Xenopus tropicalis: one gene and its partners. Each later gene encodes a partner of the first gene's protein in a complex. Links are inferred from orthologs where the notes say so. Each region holds a gene or a part of one and is shown in the gene's direction. Other genes may lie near its edges. The genes, in order: pigc, pigy and pigp.

Region 1 (7,633 bases):
GAACAGGGAGTTTTGTCGCGGGCGACTAATCTCCCCCGTGTGCCAGAGCCCTTAGCATGACAACAACCCATAGCATACATCTAAATCAACAAAGCAATGGCTTCAAAGGACGATCAATGTTCTGGAATGACCAACAAGCCAGAGTCCAGACCTTAATCTGATTAAACGTCTGCAGCATGAAGATACCCTCTTAATTTGACAGATCTGGAAAACTTTTGCAAGAAGGTGTGGGTAAAAACTGCAAAGTCCAGATGTGCCAAACTGACGCTCTTACCTAAAAAGACTGAGTGCTGTAATAAAATCAAAAAGGTGCTTTAATTGCACTAATGCAACCATGGTTTTAAAGGATTTCTTTTTTTTCCAATAAACAGATTCTGATTTGTTTGTATAGATAATTTTGCAATAAAGGTGAAATACATTCTGCCATTTTGCAGGCTGTAGACTTTTTATTTTCAGTGTACAATTAAAATCAAAACAATATTTTATAACCGATAATCCCAAACAATATATTTGTACTATGGATATCAAGTTTGTTGATCAGGCTGGTTTGGAAATGTAATCAGCCAATCCCATCATGTCAGTCAGTGTATGGTACAGCAGCAGATGAGGAAAAGAAGGTCCTCCTTCTGACCCAAACAAGCAGAACAATAGAAAGATGGCCCCTCATATGGTATACATCCGTTTGCCCCCACAGGTTAGCTGGTCAAATACCATACATTGTCAAGCTTAACTCTTTATTTAACTTTATTATGCTCAGCCCTTACATTACTATGGCAAAACAGTTGTTGATAATCCCTGACAGCAGCTGTCCCAAATACTATGGGGTCAAAAGAGACAACCAACAAAAACCTGTTTTTGTAAAAAAAAAAAAGTAATTCTAAACATTTTTCAATTATTCACTATTGACTATTGGTAAATGTAACTGAAAAAAAGTATTTGATTATCATTTTCTGTTCTTTGCACTTTCTTCTGATTTTGACTTTTGAAACAATGTAACAGAAATCACTTCTAATCCAGGTCTTTTAAACAGCTGCCTTTGATACATAGTTTCAGGAGTCACAGTTCGAAGTAGTGGATATATGGAGCCATGCACATCCTGCTTTGAATTGCAATTACATTTGCAAATAAACCTAAAAACACTGAAAAGTTTCAATTAATGTATATTAGAAAGTTTTTTTCCCATTAGTCAATATATGAATTTGCCAACCCCGGCATCCCTTAAAATGATACCAACTGCTGCATTCATAATCACATTCCCTGAAACTAAATACAACAGAATGCTGTCAATCTGACTCAGCAGCAGTTCCAACTTCTATCTATGACAGTGTAGGCATTCCCTAGTGAATAAAAATCTAAATCAAAATAATTATATTAAATGCAAATAAGACTTTAATATAAAAGATACAGGATATTCCAGGTCTGGGAAAACCAATGAGACCCAATTCTGGTTCCCCCAGCATAACTATAAACAGAAGTCTTTCATAATCATAGGCAGTCAGAAATATAATGAGCAAATGTAAAGATATTCAAAATAATTTTTTTATCACAGCCCATAGGAAGATACATTACAACAAATGAACATGGGGCAATAACAAGCAGCTTGTGACCCACAATTTGCAGATCTTCCAATTATAACACACAGCTGTCATTTAGGGAAAGTCCTACAGAAACTATTTCTGATGGTATCTCTCAGCTAAACATGTTGCTGGACTATGCTTTCAAGCTCTGCCAAAATAAAAGCCAAGAGGTATTCTCTGTGTACTAACGAAAGGAAAAGTTTTCTTAGCTAGCCAGTTATTATTTAAGGGGCAAAACGGTTTTGGCATAATGAAAGAAAGTAGAACTCTAAGCAATCTTTGACATGCATGCTGCTACATTGTTTCAGGAGTCACAGCCAGCAGTGCAGAGAATATAAGCAGCAGGGCAGCTACAACTTTCAGCCAGCAATTACATTTAGAAATAGCTTAAAAATCACTGAGTGTTTTAAATCAATGTATACTGTAAAGCTGCTGGGAATTACAATTTCATTATACATTTTAGGAGAAGATTCCATTTAATTCATCCATATGAACATGAAGAAAAAGTGAAATTATTGTTGGTGTAATGGCATAGTGTTACATTTATACTAAGACCAGGACTCCTAGGACACTGCTTTTCACACAATGATGGGAGACCCCCCCCCCCCTTCATTCAGGGTACATGACAGCGAGACTACCTGTCAGCGAGTAACAGCAATGTGGGCATTTACGCTCCAACAGACAGGCGCAGGGCCCTAAGCACTCACCATGAGCCAACCAGAAAGAGGCAGAATATAATAAACACCCGTTTCGTCATCTTTCCCGGACGTATTTTCTCATCCTCGCTGGCATTTCCCGTGTACTTTAATGAGCACTAGTCGTACAAGCCACCATTGAAAATGTCCCCGTTGGTGTATGGCGCCGGGGAGAGCCGTGCCACTGTTTCCCCTACTTCCCCTTCGTAAAAGCACTGCCCACACCACGCTACAATCCTCCAACGCGGCCGATCCCCTGCGAATGCCTCCAACTGCACAGCCAGCTTAGGCGGAAGGAGACGCGTCACTCCGGCCGAGGTTAGCGAATCAGACGTAGCCTTTACAACCCTCCCCCTTCAAATGCATTGGTTTGGTCCAGAAAGGATGCCTCAGCTCTTTTGAACAACAAGGCCTCTGTAATGGACTGGGGGCGGAGACTCGTGTTAAGCGAATTGGAATCAAGGCGCCCCTGGCAACTATTGTGGCCTTTCCTGTTTCTAGTGAAAGGGTTCTGACAGCCAATAGCATTTCAAGATACGACCGCTCTTGATTGGCTGCTCAGCCAAAGGTTGCAAGGGGCTGGAGAAACGCGGAAGCCTGGCTTTAGGAAATCAGGTACCCACTTACTGGCAGCTTTCTTTTGAGTTGGTAGCTACCCACAGGGTCTCTCCATTGTTTTTCCCTACATTGTAACCTGCCTACTGTCACTGCGGTTTGCTATACATTTCATTTTGTTTGTTGCGACAATATTAGCCTTGACATATGGGGTGGGGGGAATATGGCTAGTGCTTCTCTGCGTAGGTGTCCGCACAGAACGGCAGAAAGTAGGTTCCATAAGTCAAAGGCTTGCTACTGTAGTGTGCGGAAAAAAGTACAAAATTGTAGTTTGCAACAGCCCTGCACTTTGTAAGTGAGCTCTTGAATATGTAACTGCTGCCTCCTTTATATACTGTCTCTTAAGTTGCCAGTTGGTAGTCTTGCTCCTTCTCTCTCTCTCTCATCTATATATATATATATATATATATATATATATATATTACAGTCCACAAAATTTTCAGCACACCAAACCCCTAATATAAATCACCTGGGTGCTACCTCCATGTGTCTAATTATCCAAAAATTGGGTGCACACCAGGATATTTTTTAAAGATTAAAACGTTACTTTTATTTAAACATGCTGTTAAAACAGGCCAACGTTTCGGTCTCCTCCTAAGACCATTATCATTATCAAGGGTCTTGGAGCCGGGTTGGAGCTGCAGAGTGCCATTGAGCCCTATGGGAGACTTTCCTTGGGCCAGGTTGGAGCTGCAGAGTGCCATTGAGCCCTATGGGAGACTTTCCTTGGGCCAGGTTGGAGCTGCAGAGTGCCATTGAGCCCTATGGGAGACTTCCCTTGGGCCGGGTTGGAGCTGCAGAGTGCCATTGAGTCCTATGGGAGGCTTCCAAAATCATGCTAAGTCTGAAAGTTTTGCCCGCAGTTTACGAGCGCTCAATACGAAAAAGTCGCGACAAGATACGAGCAAATCGTAACGGCTACGAAAAAGTCGCGACAATTCGTGCAAGTCGTAATGGTTACGAAAAAGTCGCGATAATTTACGAAAAGTCGTAACGGCGACGAAAAAATCGCAAAATGTTCGTTTTCCAATCTGAATTTTTCCCCTTCGGATTCATGGGTTAGTAAATCAGCCCCTATGTTTGAGGCAAGGCTAAAATTTAGCAGTTGCCTTTCATTAGATGGAATTATCCAAGTTACTGTGTAATAGGCAGGTTAATACATTCCTTAGGTCTGTTGTTTTAATGAAGAAACCGTTAAGAAAAAAATAAGAAAAGGAAACCAGTTTCATTTTAGCACTTCCTGTTCCACTAAGAAGCTCCTGTTCAAACCCTGCACCTTAGGGAAGGGAGGGGATTGTATATTTGTTTGAAGGTAAATAAGGATCTCTGAACAAATTGCCCTGTCTATAAAGGAGGGGCTTTTCAAACAGTGCTTTATAATGGAAAAAAATTAGGAGTATATGGCAAAATACATTTTAAAGCAAAACTATACCTCCAGAATGAATACTTAACCAACAGATAGTTTATATTATGTTAATAATATGGGCAGAACTCTGCCCAATAATTGGCTGATGTGGCCTAGCATGTATGTGTGCCTTGGCTTGTTTGTGTGCACCGTTAATACTATGATCCAAGGAGGCGGCCATTACTTCTTAAAATGGTAATTTTCTATTTAGCAGTACCCAATAGCACATATTGCTAAAAAAAAGTATATTTTTATGAAAATGGTTTATTTAGATGAAGCAGGGTTTTACATATGAGTTGTTTTATGCAATATATTTTTATAGAGACCTACATTGTTTGTGGGTATAGTTTTCCTTTAAGCATAAGTTGTTTTTTTTTTTTGTTTTTTTTATTGTGCTCATTTTTTGCCAATGTGTTTTAGACATATATTTTCCTTTTTAAATCTGTGTTTGTCCCTTGAATCTTTTACACTTGAAAAAGACCCTCTGTTTGGTCAGAACAACCCATGTTACTTAATGGATTTGCAGTGTAGTTCCGGCAATGTATATGCATGCTTCCTCCGCAGAAGAATTGTACTGTATATGTCAATGTCAAATGTGTGAACCAACACCTGGTTTCTTCCTACAAAAATTTGATAAGCTGCAGTCCAGAGCAAGATAGTTATTTATTCCCATTAACAAAGGTGCCCGGAATAGTGCCCAGACTAATTATACCACATGGCAAACCTAAAGAAGTCACTTACAATAAATTGTTTACTTTTGAGCTTCATCTGACTGATTTTTTTTTTTTTTTTTTACATTATAAAGAGTCTGAAGTTTTCATAAAGATTAAATTGTATTCTACTTTTCCATTTCGTTATAAAATAAATGTGCCTACTAACATTTAGCAAAATGTCTCTTGATTACTGTTTAGCCTGCTTTGTTTATTAAGTACATAGAACATAACTACCTTTGAAAAAAGCTCAGTGCAACGTGGCAGTGCTGTTATCAGGTGGAGGATTAAAAACACAGGTCATTTTGATCTGCAAATAGAATATTTCCAGGTCAGTAAATCTCTGCCACTACCCCCTGCCTGTCTCACACCAGAGTAAACACAATTCAGAAGAGAAACATATTCCATGAAGCTGTTAAAGCATATGCATTTTGCTCATGGTATTATAAAGGTAGCGTAGGACATTGCTTCTTTTATTTTTACCATATCTTTTGTGTGATCAGAAGAAAGAAATTCCACATTTTCTGTGTTGATTTTCTCTAATATTAGGAGTTAGTTTGACTTTTGTCATTGTGAGATAATGGGATTTCAAATTGGGTAATTTAAATTGCTGACTGTTGCTTTGGGTGACCACACTTGTGCAGATTTGCCCATTGTTATTCAGTGAGCCGGAATTGCACATAGCGCATATTCCACTTCACATAAAAATGTTACATCTTATTATACCAAGTTCTTCTACATGTTAATTCATGAAACTAGCTTTTGTACAAGAAATAGAACAGAGGCTTATAATCTGTTTGCTTGCAGCAGAATTATTTTAGGGCACCCTAAACCTCTTGAGCCCCACAGCTTACAAATGCTGTAGTCAAAAGCACTTCCTATTGGCCCACACTTTGTTGCCTTTATTATTGTCTGAAGCACAATTGCAGTTGCAGCAAAATGTGGCATCACTGCAGTGTGAAGGCTTCTATAAGTACACTCCAGTTTTAAGATGGCCATACATGATCAAATTTTAGTCTTCTTCCAGTGAACATTCGGATATGCATTGTATGTTTAAATGCAACGATCTAAAACTAAAATTCAGACTAAAATTGTAGGATAAAGCCATTGGACAATGTTTTGTATGTGGGAAAGTTGGCTAATCGTATGAAAGTAACTTTCTGGGAATGCATTTTAGGTCCCCCAAGGACACAGATGCACAGATTTTATCTTCATCCAACTTAAATTTTCTAACCTGTCCGATCGACTAAATTACTGATTGCTATGGTATGAAAATTATCAGGACACTAATTCGTAGCCCACACACGGTTTGAAAACCATACGAAAATGCAATGTATGGCTAGCTTAAGATGGGAGCATGTCAGCCTTTGTTTATTTGGAGTGAAAATAATGTACATTTGGCCAATGTAGTAAACAGGATCTATGTAGCTATCAGGTAGTTTATCCATAGATGAATATTGAATCAAGTTCATGACTAAAGTATCCATCTGACTGAGTTGGAGCAGTTATTTGTACCACTAGACTTTGATCGGTGCATTGGTAGATCTGAGAATATGTTCAGTTACTTAACCAAAGCCACGTAGTTAGCTTGTCAGCCTGATGATAAGAAGGATGACAAATGCTTGCCTAAGTTTAATCTCAGATACTAAGATAAACAGAGTGAACTGAAAACAAAGTACATTAATGTGGGAAAATGTTTAACTGTGAGGTAATGGTGATGCCTTAAATGACTGCCAAAAAACGTTTATTCTTTACAGATAATTAGCCACTCACCATTCCAACTGCATTATCCATTTTTGATGTCATACAAGTGTTGGGAAAAAATGCTTGCATATTCATGTGTGTGCTTATACCTTTTGATAAAGCATCCCATTCAAAAACTTTTGTAGAATACTAAGTCGCTTATACAATTCAGTTTGATAATAAAATCATCAAAACTGCATAATAATGGGATAAAAAGCTTGTTATATTCAGCTGTTCAGGACATATAAGTCCCATGACATTAGGGCTTTGGCGTTGGTTTGGCTATAAGAACCACACTGTGGATTAGGATAGTTTTGAATCTAGCAAACAGTGCTGTGATTTTAGCTGAACTGTGCACTGGATTTGGTGCAAATATATCTTTGTGTGTTTAGCCACTGGAATTTCTCTAAACTTTTCTGTTTCCATTAAAGTTTATAATAAATGCACCCAGTATGCTCATGAACTTTTCTTTACTTAAATTGGCCATGATTTTTGATATAACAAGGGCAGCCTACAGATACCCATGTACTATGTATGTTAGTTGGCTCAGAGATCGGGCCTGTTTATAACTCTTTTCTACTATGTCCATTATCTGCTGTTGTGTAACACATTGGCAGATAAGAAACTGTATAGAAGCCACAGCTCTGCTTCTCTACTTTTTTCAATGTTCTGACTGTTGGTACAATAGAAAGGTGGCCATAGCATGTACAGCCTCTTCATAAGCTATCCATCTGTTCATTCTGTGCACTAGTCCATTATCTAGCAGTTATCCAACCTCATCTTGCAGTAAGTATACATGTGTCTTCAATTATTGGATTCATTTCACATGATGTTCTCCTTTTGCTACAAATATATTATCTTTATTTCTACTGCTCACTATTGCCCCAT
Region 2 (7,465 bases), on another chromosome or scaffold:
TCTGGTTAGGAGAAACATAAAAAGCCTCAAATAACTTTTATCATGTCTTTTCTAACCAGAAGAACATTAGCCCAGCCATCTTTCTCCTTACAACTTCCTTGACAACATCCTTGACTTTGTGAAACGTGACCAGTAGCTGATGCGGTTGTAACAATATTCATTTATATTAATAGTACTTTAAACACTTAAAATCTTGGAATTAAAAACAATAAATAATTTAAATTGCAAAAGTGCTTAGAATAGGAGTCTCATCAATTTTACATCAACTAATTTTAATGGTTTACTTATCCTGTACCCATAAACCTCAGGTCCCAAGTATTCTGGATAACAGGTCCCATACCTGTACCATAAAAGGATAATGTTGCTACATTAAGTATTCGGAAGAATGATGCACTAATATATTAAAACTTCACTTTTATTAATTCAAAATAAAAGTAAAAATGGTAAACTGAATGCAAAAAAAAACAAAAACAAAGGAAAAATATTTTAAAAGTCTGACCTTTGCTCAGTCCTTGCACTTATAATGCTCACCTCAGGAGCCTTTGAAATGTATCTTATATATACTAGTGCAGGGGTGGGCAAAGTTTTTGGCTCGGGGGCCACATTTACTCACAGGCGGGCCAGGCCGGGCCAACGTCCTCCCACCAGCTCCCCCCCCCACCAGCATCCTCCATCTCTCCGACCTGCAGCTCTCTCCATCGTTCCGCTGAGTCTGTTCCCCGGCTCCCCGCTGCATCCTTTTTTATGGTTGCGCCCCCTGCGCACGAGCACGCACGAAGCGCAACCAATCAGGGCCCAGAAATTATTTAAAGGGACCCGGAGTCAGCGGGCCGGATTAAAAAGGCCAACGGGCTGGATGTGGCCCGCGGGCCGTAGTTTGCCCACCCCTGTACTAGTGTCTACTGCTGGGTGTGTGGAGATTTTTAGAGACTAAGGGGCAGATTTACTAATCCATGAATGGACCGAAAGCGTCCGAACGCGGGTTTTCGTAATGATCAGTATTTTTGTGACTTTTTCATCACCGTCGCGACTTTTTCGTATGTCCCGCAATTTTTTCGTCGCCAATACGACTTTTTTGTCGCCGTCGCGAAAAAAACGGATTGGTTTTTCCGCCGTTTACTATTGCTCAATACGAAAAAATCACGACGCCGATGAAAAGACTCTTACATCAAGCGCATGTGCATAATGAGCTAGCGGGAAGACTGGAGAAAAACCCGATTGGCTGGGAGCCCCAGTGCACTTATGGAAGAAAAGGAGGATCCAGAGAGTACCTGGCTTTGGAGCCAAAACCAAGGGTGGGGTTGGCAGGTTTTTAAAGGGCCCCTGCTGCAGTGCCAGCCATAGAGAACCCGATCCAGAGGAACAGAGAGCAGCAGACAGGTGATTGCACTGCCAGTAACCAGAAAGGTTACAGAGTGCTCAGCTGGTTTTTGAGCTCCAGCCTAAATGGAGAGAGCATTCTGCATCTTGTTAAACTGCCAGTGGGTTTCTGTTGTTATCCTTGTATGTTCCCTGTGTGAGGGCAGGTGTTGATCGAGTGCCTGCAATGTGGAGCAACTGCCTATCCAAAGGGAGTGGTACTTTGGGGCAGGTAGCACTACAGGGGAAACTAAAGAACTCTTGGGGAAGGGACTTTGCCAGAGACTGAACTGGGAAAGGGTATTTCCACCAGGAAAGAAGTGTGGGACTGTGTCCTAGGAGAGACTGTGCCAAAAGTTTAGTTAAAATGCATGTTAAATGAAACATGCATTTCCCAAAGCAGGGTCATATTATTTGCCTTTTACAGTGATTACATTTTTCTAAATTGCTATATAAAGTTTATCTTTTCTGCAAACTGTGTGTGATTTATTTTTCTAGTGGAATCCCCCTGAGGTGTGCTCCTCAGTGACCACTAGGTGGAGGCACTGCACTGTAAAACCCAGTTCCCAGAAGTGAGTGTAATCCAATTTCTGCAGAAGTGTGCCAAAAATAGGTTACAGGGGAAAAATGAGAGGATGATAGGTGCACTTTAAAGCTTATTTCCTTTTAAATGGAATTTGGTTCAAGCTACAGACTTAAGCCCTACCTCCCGTTTTGCTGCCCCAAAAGCTTGCTAGCCCTAGCCTCCCATATGTTTGTGCCTGAAACTGTTTCCCTATTTAAGGGGTAGCTTAATTAAATAGAAAAGTCATTCCTGAAAAATCCCTTGCTAGTTACTGGCTTTTACTAATGAGGGACATTTAACAATGAGGTGCTCAAAAGACTTCTGCCCTTTTAGATCAGATTCTGTTCAGGCTACAGACTCTGACCTTATCTCCCAATTTGCTGACAAGTAGCTTGCTGGCCCTATCCTCCCCTTAGTCTGTGCATATAACTGCGTTACTATTCTTTCTTGGGATAGCTTGAGTTGAAGGAAAAATATTAGTGCAGGACCAAAACAGCTCCCTAGTGTTCTGTTAATTCAACCACATCGGATTGTCCTAACCAAATAGGTCCCTAAACTCCACCTAACCCAGAAAACAGTCAAGCCACCCAGGGCGCGCTGGCTTTCTATTAGGGATGCACCGAATGCACTTTTTTTTTAGCATATGCTAATTAGGATACGGAAGGGTTAAATTTCTAACTTCCGTGTTTATGTGACAAAAAGTCACGTGATTTTTAAGATTCGGATTCAGTTCTGCCAGGAGCCGAAAAAAGCATAATCTTGGCCAAATCCTGGATTCGGTGCGTCCCTACTTTCTATCCACTACCTGACATATAATGAATAGAGTTGCCTCCCAGCAGTTATTTTACAGGCCTGACCAATAAAACTGAAATTTGATTCCAACAGTACTAATAGACAAGATAGCTACCAACAAGAGAAGGAATGGTATTTTTTGTAGAAAAGGTGGCAACACTAACAGTAATTCACCAGCTTCTCTATGCACACTCATGACAACCAGCTCCCCTAATGATCAAATACCCCTTGCAGCCGGTTAGCCTGCTGCCATGTTGTTTTAATTACTGCTGGCTTAGAACAAACTGGCCATACACACATCAATAAAATCATACAAAACCTAGTCTCAAACAATTTTTGGACCGTGTGTGGTCTCAGAATAATCGCCCCCAAAGTTTGTCAGAAGAAGAACTGAACTTGTATGGAAAATAAGGAAGATAAGATCCAGCCACAGCAATGTAAAATGTCCCTGTGCACAGGAAATTGCAGCAGACAGAACAATCTTTATCTAGTGTCCATTTTAAGATATCTGTGTGTGTTCAACTCCCTCCCCACCACAGAAGCCCCCCCCCAGCTCCCTACCTGTCACATACCCCATCCGACTAGCTCCATACTCCCCCTGACTTCCTCCCTGTTTTATCCATGCTGTAGCTTTCTACCTTGTCTACTCCCTACTCTGTGATTCTTTGTGCTGCAGCATTCTATACTACCCGCAACCTGTTCAGTGCAGTATCAGACTGGGCTGCTGGGGTACTGGGAAAAAAACCTGTTGGTCCCCGGCGGGCCAGATCCCCTCCCCCAGGGCTCTCCCGCGATCCACCGTCACCCTCCCCCAACATACCGCAGGTAAGTTTCTTTTAGAAGCATGGTCGGAGGGTGTTTGGGGCCTCTGCAGGGGTTGGGGGGGGCTGGGGTTCCTGAGGCAGAAGCCCCAGTGAGCCCTGCACCCCCCAGCCCGACCCTGTTTCTGTGTCCTATAGGGTTCTCAATTTATTGCCCATGAACCTTTTCAATGATCTATATATATGCTGTGCCTTTCCAGCTTTCATTTGTATTTTGCCTGACGAAGGGGCCTGGGTGCTTCAACACAGGGTCAGACTGCGGAGTGAAGGGCCCACTGGGGCTCCCGCCCCAGGGGCCTTGTAGGTGCCCGTGCAGGGCCCCCCACCTGACATCCTCCCCCGAGCGTGTAAATTTAACACGTCAGGGGAGGAGCACTCGGGCAGGGGGAGCATCGGCAAGGGTCGGGTCTGGGCCGCCAGGGCCCACTTTTCCCGGTGTCCCAGCGGCCCAGTCCGACCCTGCTTGGACAGCTTGCAATTTTTCTTACTCAGCCAATAAAAGGTATCAGATTTTCTGCATTGTTTTTAATGGCTAACACAGTACAACATCTTAATTCCATAGGATTCCACAGTGAACAAAGCTTTTTGCTTTTAACAGGAATACTGTTACTGTATTCCTGTTTACCTATAACTTATTTTGAGCACTGTTAGAAATTAAATTGCTACCACCTGTCAGGCAATGTGGGCTGGTACCTGGTTTAACACAAATACAGAAGGAAAAATCGCCTGGCAGTGAATGGGTTACATATCTGTGATCGCAGGAATCAAAGGGCAAACCAGATTCAAGCAATAATATCAAGTAAAGGTAGTTTAACATTACAGAAAGACTTTAATCACAACTCTTTCAGATATATTTTGAGGGTTTTGCAGGCTGTGGGTTTATATAGTTACATGCACATGGTAGGAACCACTGAGACTGCTTTGTGTCGTGTGAGGGGCTGTTTATAGTGCTGCACAGGAAGAAGGGGTGGAATCGTTCCTGGGAAGTAAAGGTTGTGTGTCAGTCAGTTTCTGTGCAGAAAGTGGAACATGCTGGCTGTCAGGGCATGGGGAAGAACATATAATACCTTAGTCCAGCGGAAACTAAACGCTGCCTGTCCCACTGGCGCCCTGCCAGCTGTCACACTGCGGCCCTTGCACTGCTCTTTAGTTGCCAGATCCCCGGAACAGAGCCTGAAGGACAGCAAGACGTTTGATCCTACCCTCTTGCAATTCCTGGTCTGCCCTCTCTCAAGGAAATCGCTGAGGTAAAATACCTGGCACTGGGTTAAAGGGCTCTGATACAGTCAGTATACTGCTGCTGGGTGGGGGGGTCATTAAGATCACCTATGATCCTAAGCATTGCTTCCCCCCAGAGGTGCGGGCTACAATACAAGGATACTGCCCCCTGCAGTGCTGGGCTGCCCCTAGTTTGAGCAAAGTGTCCCATCAGACTTGGGTTTCTCTGACTTAAAGTTATAGCCACGTATTGTTCTATTTATAATTTCTAATTAATTACCCTTTAGAAAGACTATATTGATATTAACCATTAGCCAAATGTTAGGGCTTATATTGAAAATATCGCTGCTTATTTTTATTGAAAGGGGAACTACAGTTTATGAACCAAAATTTGTTAAAGAGCCCAACACAGAAACCCCTAATATACCTAGCACTGTAAACTGTTTCTTTCTGCTAAACCTTCTAACCTTCTTTCTGCATTATTTAAAATCCTGGGAAGAGGATTAAAGAAGAGGGACTAAAACACTGATGTTACAAATTGTAACAACTTCTCCACATCTTACAGACAGCACTCAGAAACTACATTACCCACAATGCATTGCCCAGTGATGTTATTTTCCCTATTCCTTATTATATGTGCGGGGAATTGTGGTAACTGGAGAAGGCAGGCTGAGGACAGTCTACTGCATTTTATTTGAGTCTCAAAGTAGTCAGTCAGGTCAGCAGGGGAACAGGGTGTCCCATACACCTAAGCCTGTACTCTGTATAGGGAAATATTCAGTTTATTAACAGCAAGCAGATGTCTCTTTGCTATTTCAAGCTTAACTAGAACTCCTAAATGCATTTTATATATATTATATATATATATATATATATATATATATATATATATATATATATATTGAAAAAAAGACCAGCAACACCGGATCTATTGCAAACAATCAATTATATATTGAAAAATACATGAACAGCCAACGTTACGTTTCGGTCTTGAGAAAGGTCCCGACGGGGACCGAAACGTAACGTTGGCTGTTCATGTATTTTTCAATATATAATCGATTGTTTGCAATAGATCCGGTGTTGCTGGTCTTTTTTTCAATATTTAAACTCTTTTACCGTGCACCCGGGACAAGGATTGAAGCGGTGTGCCACCCTTGGCTCGATATATATATATATATATATATATAATATTGATTATGGAATGACGCTTGTGGTTTGAAATGTACTGATTTTGGTGATCAAATTTCCCGACATTAAATATAAACGGCTGTGATTCCCCATTCATTGATCCAGATCTGATTGTTTATATGTCATTTTTTTTCCCTAGATATGAAGAATCTACCAATGAGTTAATTAATGACGAGCTGGGTATAGCTTACCCAATTGTTGATGGCATCCCAAATATGATACCACAGGATGCCCGCATGATTCATAAAGATCAGAAGCCTGAGAGCCCAGACACAGAGCAGACAACATAGTTTTTTGGATTTGTTCCTGCAAACAATAAAGAAGCCATGTTTTTCTCCCTCCCTGTGCTGACTGTGCTCATTCCTCTGGTGTCTTTGACAGGGTTATTATACTCTGCCTCAGTGGAAGAGGATTTCCCAAATGGATGCACCAGTACAGCAAGCTTGTGTTTTTACAGCCTTCTGCTTCCCATCACTTTGCCTGTCTATGTGTTTTTTCATTTGTGGACTTGGATGGGACTCAAGCTCTTTAGGCACAATTAATGCATAAATGAACAGAAAATATCTCATTCATCCTTCTGCTTTCAGATAAGATATGGAGAACATGTTTTCAGATTGGTCGGTTACAGCTTTGCATAGAAATATTAACATTTAATAGAAATAAAATGAATGTAATTGTTTTGATTTTTGTACTTTCCTTTCTATTTGAGCTCCTTTAAAGACTCTATTCCTAAAGGTACACTTACCTGGGTGCTGCCCCATTTGTAAGTTAATAGGAGCTGCTCTCTGGCAGCTTATGTGCTTAACAATAAAATTGAAAGCAAAAAATGCATCCTAGTTACTGATGCAATAATTGTCGGAGTGTGGGGTGCAGGGCTCACCGGGGCTGCCGCACGTGTAAATTAAAATTACTTTTAGCACGTTGGGGAAGGGAGATCTGGGGCCCAGTCCTACCCTGCTTGCTTTCTTTAAAGTCATTTAAAATCGTCATTCCAAGTCCCTTTTCTATATTATTATTGACAGTAATGAAGTGCTGGCTGCTGGGGTCAGTGACTTCCATTTGAAAGCTGAAAAGAGACTGAGGAGAAAAGCAAATAATTCAGAAACTATAAAGAAATGAATGCCAGTTCTATAACATACTAAAAGTTAACCTAAAGGTGAACCACCCCTTTTATGCCTTAGTTTATACATTCAGTATATACATCCATGCAGGCCCTTCTGGGAGAACATGAGGTTTCATCAAGTAGTGGTTATCTACTTTACATGTGGAAGGGAAATCATTGTAGGTGACTATTGACAATGTCATGAAACCAAAAGATAAAAGGGGATATTTATAATGGCTGCAAAGTGGAAAAAGACACAGTTGGCTGTTTTTTACACTTTGCCAGAATGGGGCATTGTGCAAATAGCCACAGGCCTCTAAACTCTGGCAGAGAGAACCTTGAATCGACTGCTGCCTGTGCTAGAGAGAGCTTAGTTCAAAAGAGGCATGCTGGGAATGTACAGATACAGGCAGTGAGTTA
Region 3 (6,124 bases), on another chromosome or scaffold:
CCACCCACAGTGGCTCTGCCCAACGTCCTCCCCTAAACGCGCCTAAGTTTAACGCATCAGGGGAGGAACACCGTAGGCCAGGGGAGCGCTGGCAAGGGTCGGGTCTGGGCTGCTCCTGGTGTCCCGGCGGCCCAGTCCAACCCTGTCAGGTATATTAGCCCCATTGCACCCAAAGCCTTCAGTAAAACAATTAGCTTTAATCAGACTCCTGCAGACAGAAGAATGAATGCACATCTGTGATCAGTTACTCTGCACAAATTAGAGCATATTTGTTAGTAAATGTGGCACAGTATGTCAGTAGGATAACAGGATACATATTGTGTGCAGCCACAAAGTCCTACCTACAGTATAGTAATTGCAGACTGATAGTAATGCCTTTGTTGTCTGGCATTTCAGTTTCTTTTACAAATTGTGTTTATAGATATTGGGCTGTGGCAGTGCCCGTCTACCTCCTCGTTGTGTTCGGCATCGCCTATATCTTTCTGTTTGGTATAAACATGATGAGCACTGCTCCCCTAGACTCCATACACACTGTAACAGGTAAGTGGGACTCTGGCTACAGTATATAGAATCTAGTGTATATGTGTGTGTGTGTGTATATATATATATATATATATATATATATATATATACAGTGGTGTGAAAAACTATTTGCCCCCTTCCTGATTTCTTATTCTTTTGCATGTTTGTCACACAAAATGTTTCTGATCATCAAACACATTTAACTATTAGTCAAAGATAACACAAGTAAACACAAAATGCAGTTTTTAAATGAGGGTTTTTATTATTTAGGGAGAAAAAAAATCCAAACCTACATGGCCCTGTGTGAAAAAGTAATTGCCCCCTGAACCTAATAACTGGTTGGGCCACCCTTAGCAGCAATAACTGCAATCAAGCGTTTGCGATAACTTGCAACAAGTATTTTACAGCGCTCTGGAGGAATTTTGGCCCACTCATCTTTGCAGAATTGTTGTAATTCAGCTTTATTTGAGGGTTTTCTAGCATGAACCGCCTTTTTAAGGTCATGCCACAACATCTCAATAGGATTCAGGTCAGGACTTTGACTAGGCCACTCCAAAGTCTTCATTTTGTTTTTCTTCAGCCATTCAGAGGTGGATTTGCTGGTGTGTTTTGGGTCATTGTCCTGCTGCAGCACCCAAGATCGCTTCAGCTTGAGTTGACGAACAGATGGCCAGACATTCTCCTTCAGGATTTTTTGGTAGACAGTAGAATTCATGGTTCCATCTATCACAGCACGCCTTCCAGGTCCTGAAGCAGCAAAACAACCCCAGACCATCACACTACCACCACCATATTTTACTGTTGGTATGATGTTCTTTTTCTGAAATGCTGTGTTACTTTTACGCCAGATGTAACGGGACACGCACCTTCCAAAAAGTTCAACTTTTGTCTCGTCGGTCCACAAGGTATTTTCCCAAAAGTCTTGGCAATCATTGAGATGTTTTTTAGCAAATTGAGACGAGCCATAATGTTCTTTTTGCTTAAAAGTGGTTTGCGCCTTGGAAATCTGCCATGCAGGCCGTTTTTGCCCAGTCTCTTTCTTATGGTGGAGTCGTGAACACTGACCTTAATTGAGGCAAGTGAGGCCTGCAGTTCTTTAGATGTTGTCCTGGGGTCTTTTGTGGCCTCTCGGATGAGTTGTCTCTGCGCTCTTGGGGTAATTTTGGTCGGCCGGCCACTCCTGGGAAGGTTCACCACTGTTCCATGTTTTTGCCATTTGTGGATAATGGCTCTCACTGTGGTTCGCTGGAGTCCCAAAGCTTTAGAAATGGTTTTATAACCTTTACCAGACTGACAGATCTCAATTACTTTTGTTCTCATTTGTTCCTGAATTTCTTTGGATCTTGGCATGATGTCTAGCTTTTGAGGTGCTTTTGGTCTACTTCTCTGTGTCAGGTAGCTCCTATTTAAGTGATTTCTTGATTGAAACAGGTGTGGCAGTAATCAGGCCTGGGGGTGACTACAGAAATTGATATTGAAATTGAAAATTGAAATTGATAAACCACAGTTAAGTTATTTTTTAACAAGGGGGGCAATCACTTTTTCACACAGGGCCATGTAGATTTGGAGTTTTTTTTCTCCCTTAATAACGTGAACCTTCATTTAAAAACTGCATTTTGTGTTCAATTATGTTATCTTTGACTAATAGTTAACGGTTTTTGATGAGCAGAAACATTTTGTGTGACAAACATGCAAAAGAATAAGAAATCAGGAAGGGGGCAAATAGTTTTTCACACCACTGTATATATATATATATATATATATTCTGTAAATAACCTCCCTTGGTGCTACATTGTCAGCCCAAGGATTGCAATGCATGCTGGGTATACAGACTGAAAGCAGCCACTAGATTGGCCAATATCCTAGTGCAGTTTATTGCAGTTATGGGCAACCTCAAGAACTCCCAGTGCCGCTCAGAGCTAATAGATGATCAGCGGTACCTGTTCTTTCAGTGCCACTGAGTGTTGTAATTTGTAAATTTTTACCACAATTTCCAGACTCTTATGCCAAAAATCAGCAAGAGAAGGCGTGCCAAGAGGATGCCATCCCAGCACTGAGGGACATTTCCATCAGCGAGGTTAATAAAATGTTCTTCCTCACTGAGAGATGATGCCGGAAGATCCTTCGGACCCACAAAACCCCATTCTTTATGATAATTCATGTAGCTATATATTTCTGGACTGTGTTTTATTTATTTATTTTTTTACTTGGGCCCCATAAACCAATGGGTGCAAGTGTTTTATTTAGAGGTGCAAATGCGCAGACTTGGAGATGTGGGAACAGCAGATTCTGCAGAGGTCTATGCTCCCAGTCACATTTATACTGTGCTGCCACTTCACTTGCTATATAAAAAAAAAAGCAGTTTACCTTGAAATTCACTTTTATTGGAATTCTAAGACAGTTTGCAATTAGTGATTATTTAATATTTGTCATTTTGAAAACCCATACAAACCATTTTTTGCTCTGCAACACTGAGGCTTGGAATTTCAGCTGCTATCTGGTTGCTAGTGCTCAATGATCTTAGCAACCAATTAGCAGTTTAAAAATCAGTATGATGGAAGATCAATAGGAGAGAGCTAGAAAAGAAAGATAAACATCTAAAAATAAGAGCAGTAAAATTAGGGTTGTTGCCTTTTCTGGAAAAACAAATGCTGGCTTTCCTAGATTTTTTATGTTTTTTTCCTATTAAAACTTTGAGCATTTTTTTTACTGGCCAGGTGGCCACCCCAAATACAATTGAACCCTCCAAATTGATTTCTTTTTCTGGTTGGTGGGGTCAGAGATGGCAAACTAGATAGGTTTCTCTGTGACAAGCTATACCAAATAACTAATAGAGACTAGTTACAAATTTGCTCAGAATGGATCCATACTGAATGCTAATATAAAGGTGGACTTTCCCTTTAAGTTTTTCCTGTATGATCAGAGAAGCTGCCGTGCCTTTTATCCCTTTCGTTATAGTATTGTCATTTGCACTGTATATACAAACATGAGGCCTGCTATTTGTATTTCAACACACTTGGTTTTATTCAAAATCCATTAAAGCAACACTGTGCTACATAGCAAACGAGAATGTTTATGATTTATATGTACATGATATTCTAAAGGGGTTTAATAACTGGGTGGGACTGGCCTGGCCAGGTACGATTCTGCACCCTGAAGCAGCCTTTCCAATGCCACCAACCATGCTTACCTTTCAGAGATTAAAAAATGGAATTTCAGGGTCCTAAAGATTCTCACCCTCAGAGGTAGGCCAAATGGTGCGGGCACCCTAGGGGGCCCCAATCCCCTCAGTGCACGCATATGTGCTTTGATAAGTGGGTGGGACATGCAGTGACAAGTGCAGGTGGGGCAAGAGAGCTCAGACTAGGTGTAGGCAGAAGAGGTACCTACCTAGTGCCCCTTACTGTTGCACCCTAGGCACGTGCCTTTTCTGCCTCCCCCTAGTTCTGGCAGTGTCCATGGGCCTGCCAGAATACCAGAAGAACCCCCAGCCGGCCCCCCACATCGGCTCATTGATGCGTTCCCTTATCCGATGGAATCTGGCCCTAGGGCCGTAAGATCAAATTAGCCTAATATCTCCCACATATCGGGAGAAGATCCGCTCGCTTGGCGACCTCACCAAACAAGCGAATCGTCCCGTGTATGGCCACCATACCTCTATGGCTCTGCGCATCAGAATCAGTGAGCAGAGAGGTGGGGTTGGCTAGCAGATGACGGCTGGGGGCTTGCCCATTGCATTTGGCCCAGCTCTGCATATAGCCATGCTGATAATTATTTCTTCAAAGATAGTTGCATACAAATGTGTCCCCAGTTACCTCTGTCATGTCCCTTAATGAGCCTGCAGGCCTTCCTGCCCCCAACTGCCACACTGTAGAATTGGCAGGGGCTGCACATCTTTATAAACCTTAATCTGACAATATAATAAGCTTGGCTATATAGTAATGCAATTAGGAGACTCCTTGCAAAGGAAAATGCAGGACTTGTGATGATATAAATACACTTTCCTCCATCAAGCCCTCTGAGTGGCCCATTGAATAAACTGTAAGTGTCTGCCTTGCTGCACTGGGGCAATGGAGTGCCCTACACATATAATGATATATATTTTACCTGTTTAATATGTGACCATTACCTTCCTAGTTTGCAAGGGTGAAACCTCTGGGAAAAACACACAAAGACCCTTGGCTGCTCTTTAGATGAAAGATCTGTAAGTCACAGTCAGATCCTATCAGTGATGAATCAGCCATTAGGGTTTCCCCTTTTTAGACAGACTGGACCAATAAAAACTCCCTATGAGAACGGCCACTTTGATTTTGAAGTCTCTGAAGGAGAGATCATTCTTCTGCTGCATTCTAAACAGTCTGTGTGGGTGATTTGTTTTTTTAAAGGGGAAGTTCACACACGCACACAAACATATATATATATTTTTTTAATATATTATACATAGACCCGAGTTTGGAGGTGAAAGGGATTGGTTTTCGGTTACCGCAAAAGGAACCCAAATCGCCGGGGAGTTGGCTGGATGCTTTAAAATGGGGATGGGCCCAGTCAGCCCAGTTGGACAGTGGTTAGAACCCAAACTGGATTAAACCAGAGGGTGTCAGCAAGTTGCCTGCTCTATATACCCAGTTAGGTGCCTTGACCTGTGTGTCTACAGAAGCAAGAGAAGCCCATACTATCAATAGGGGGCAGTAATGGGCATTTTCATTCTGTAACCCTGCATGGACTGATCTTGGTCTAAAGCTGGCCATACACGTGGCGATCTGACGATGTTTCGTGCGACCATCGGTCGCACGAAACATCGTCAGATCCGCCACACACAGTCAGGGCTGAAACAGCAGATAAGGAGGTAGAAACAATAGGATTTCTACCTCCTTCTGCCGATTCAGCCCTGACGGCAGATTTTGGTCAGGCGCCTATGGCGCCCGATCAAAATTTTCTAACCTGGCCGATCGGCGAGTCGTCCGATATCAGCAGCTTCCTGCAATATCGGTCGACTCACTGACTTGCCGTACACGCACCGAATATCGTATGAAACGAGGTTTCGTACGATAGTATCGGTGCGTGTATGGCCAGCTTTACAGCCCAGCATTCATGGACACCAAGTTGTCTGATTTGTTTCTTATCAGCCTTCCTTTCATTACTTCTATTCATCCGTAAAGCTGCTGCCCCATGGCTGAATTTCCCCTGCTGCCCGCCGACTGGCGCACATCCATCTCTCCTCACTATTATGGGCTGTATATATAAATAAGGGCACCCCCCCTCCCATCAAACACTGGGGGTGATACCAACGCTCCTCCTCCTGAGACCCGGCTGTGTAATCATTCACTTGGGACCTTGCTGTAAACTAAGTCAGATCAAATATCCAGCACTCTCCCATAGAGCCCGGCTCACTAGTCCCACTCCCAAACTTGCCCTTATGTTCACCTCCTGACCCCACCTTATCACTGGCCTCTCCACACCATCAAGATTAGAACTAAAGGGCAAGTGAAGCCACCTCAGAATGATGATAGCCCAGGGGGACAGTGCATATCTTCCCACCGCTATGAAATGATTGCACTATGGGAGGAAATAATAAATGGAGCTGAGAAATGATGGTTTTGAT

The links.
Region 2: pigc (region 1) and pigy share a complex: the UniProt entries of both Homo sapiens proteins name them as parts of the glycosylphosphatidylinositol-N-acetylglucosaminyltransferase (GPI-GnT) complex. The link is inferred for Xenopus tropicalis from reciprocal best matches to the Homo sapiens genes PIGC and PIGY.
Region 3: pigc (region 1) and pigp share a complex: the UniProt entries of both Homo sapiens proteins name them as parts of the glycosylphosphatidylinositol-N-acetylglucosaminyltransferase (GPI-GnT) complex. The link is inferred for Xenopus tropicalis from reciprocal best matches to the Homo sapiens genes PIGC and PIGP.

What each region holds. Positions count from the first base shown.
Region 1 is NC_030680.2:107,289,016-107,296,648, forward strand, and holds the start of pigc (phosphatidylinositol N-acetylglucosaminyltransferase subunit C), read left to right. Parts: upstream 1-2,861; 5' UTR 2,862-2,887; intron 2,888-7,633. Other genes in the region: suco (SUN domain-containing ossification factor), read right to left, coding at 2,285-2,334. UniProt on the Homo sapiens protein: Part of the glycosylphosphatidylinositol-N-acetylglucosaminyltransferase (GPI-GnT) complex that catalyzes the transfer of N-acetylglucosamine from UDP-N-acetylglucosamine to phosphatidylinositol and participates in the first step of GPI biosynthesis.
Region 2 is NC_030677.2:67,792,995-67,800,459, reverse strand, and holds pigy (phosphatidylinositol N-acetylglucosaminyltransferase subunit Y precursor), read left to right. Parts: upstream 1-3,343; 5' UTR 3,344-3,541; intron 3,542-4,523; exon of another isoform or gene 4,524-4,566; coding exon of another isoform or gene 4,567-4,784; intron 4,785-6,082; coding exon of another isoform or gene 6,083-6,233; 5' UTR 6,234-6,269; coding exon 6,270-6,485; 3' UTR 6,486-6,774; downstream 6,775-7,465. UniProt on the Homo sapiens protein: Part of the glycosylphosphatidylinositol-N-acetylglucosaminyltransferase (GPI-GnT) complex that catalyzes the transfer of N-acetylglucosamine from UDP-N-acetylglucosamine to phosphatidylinositol and participates in the first step of GPI biosynthesis.
Region 3 is NC_030678.2:12,649,400-12,655,523, forward strand, and holds the end of pigp (phosphatidylinositol N-acetylglucosaminyltransferase subunit P), read left to right. Parts: intron 1-421; coding exon 422-540; intron 541-2,519; coding exon 2,520-2,632; 3' UTR 2,633-3,581; downstream 3,582-6,124. UniProt on the Homo sapiens protein: Part of the glycosylphosphatidylinositol-N-acetylglucosaminyltransferase (GPI-GnT) complex that catalyzes the transfer of N-acetylglucosamine from UDP-N-acetylglucosamine to phosphatidylinositol and participates in the first step of GPI biosynthesis.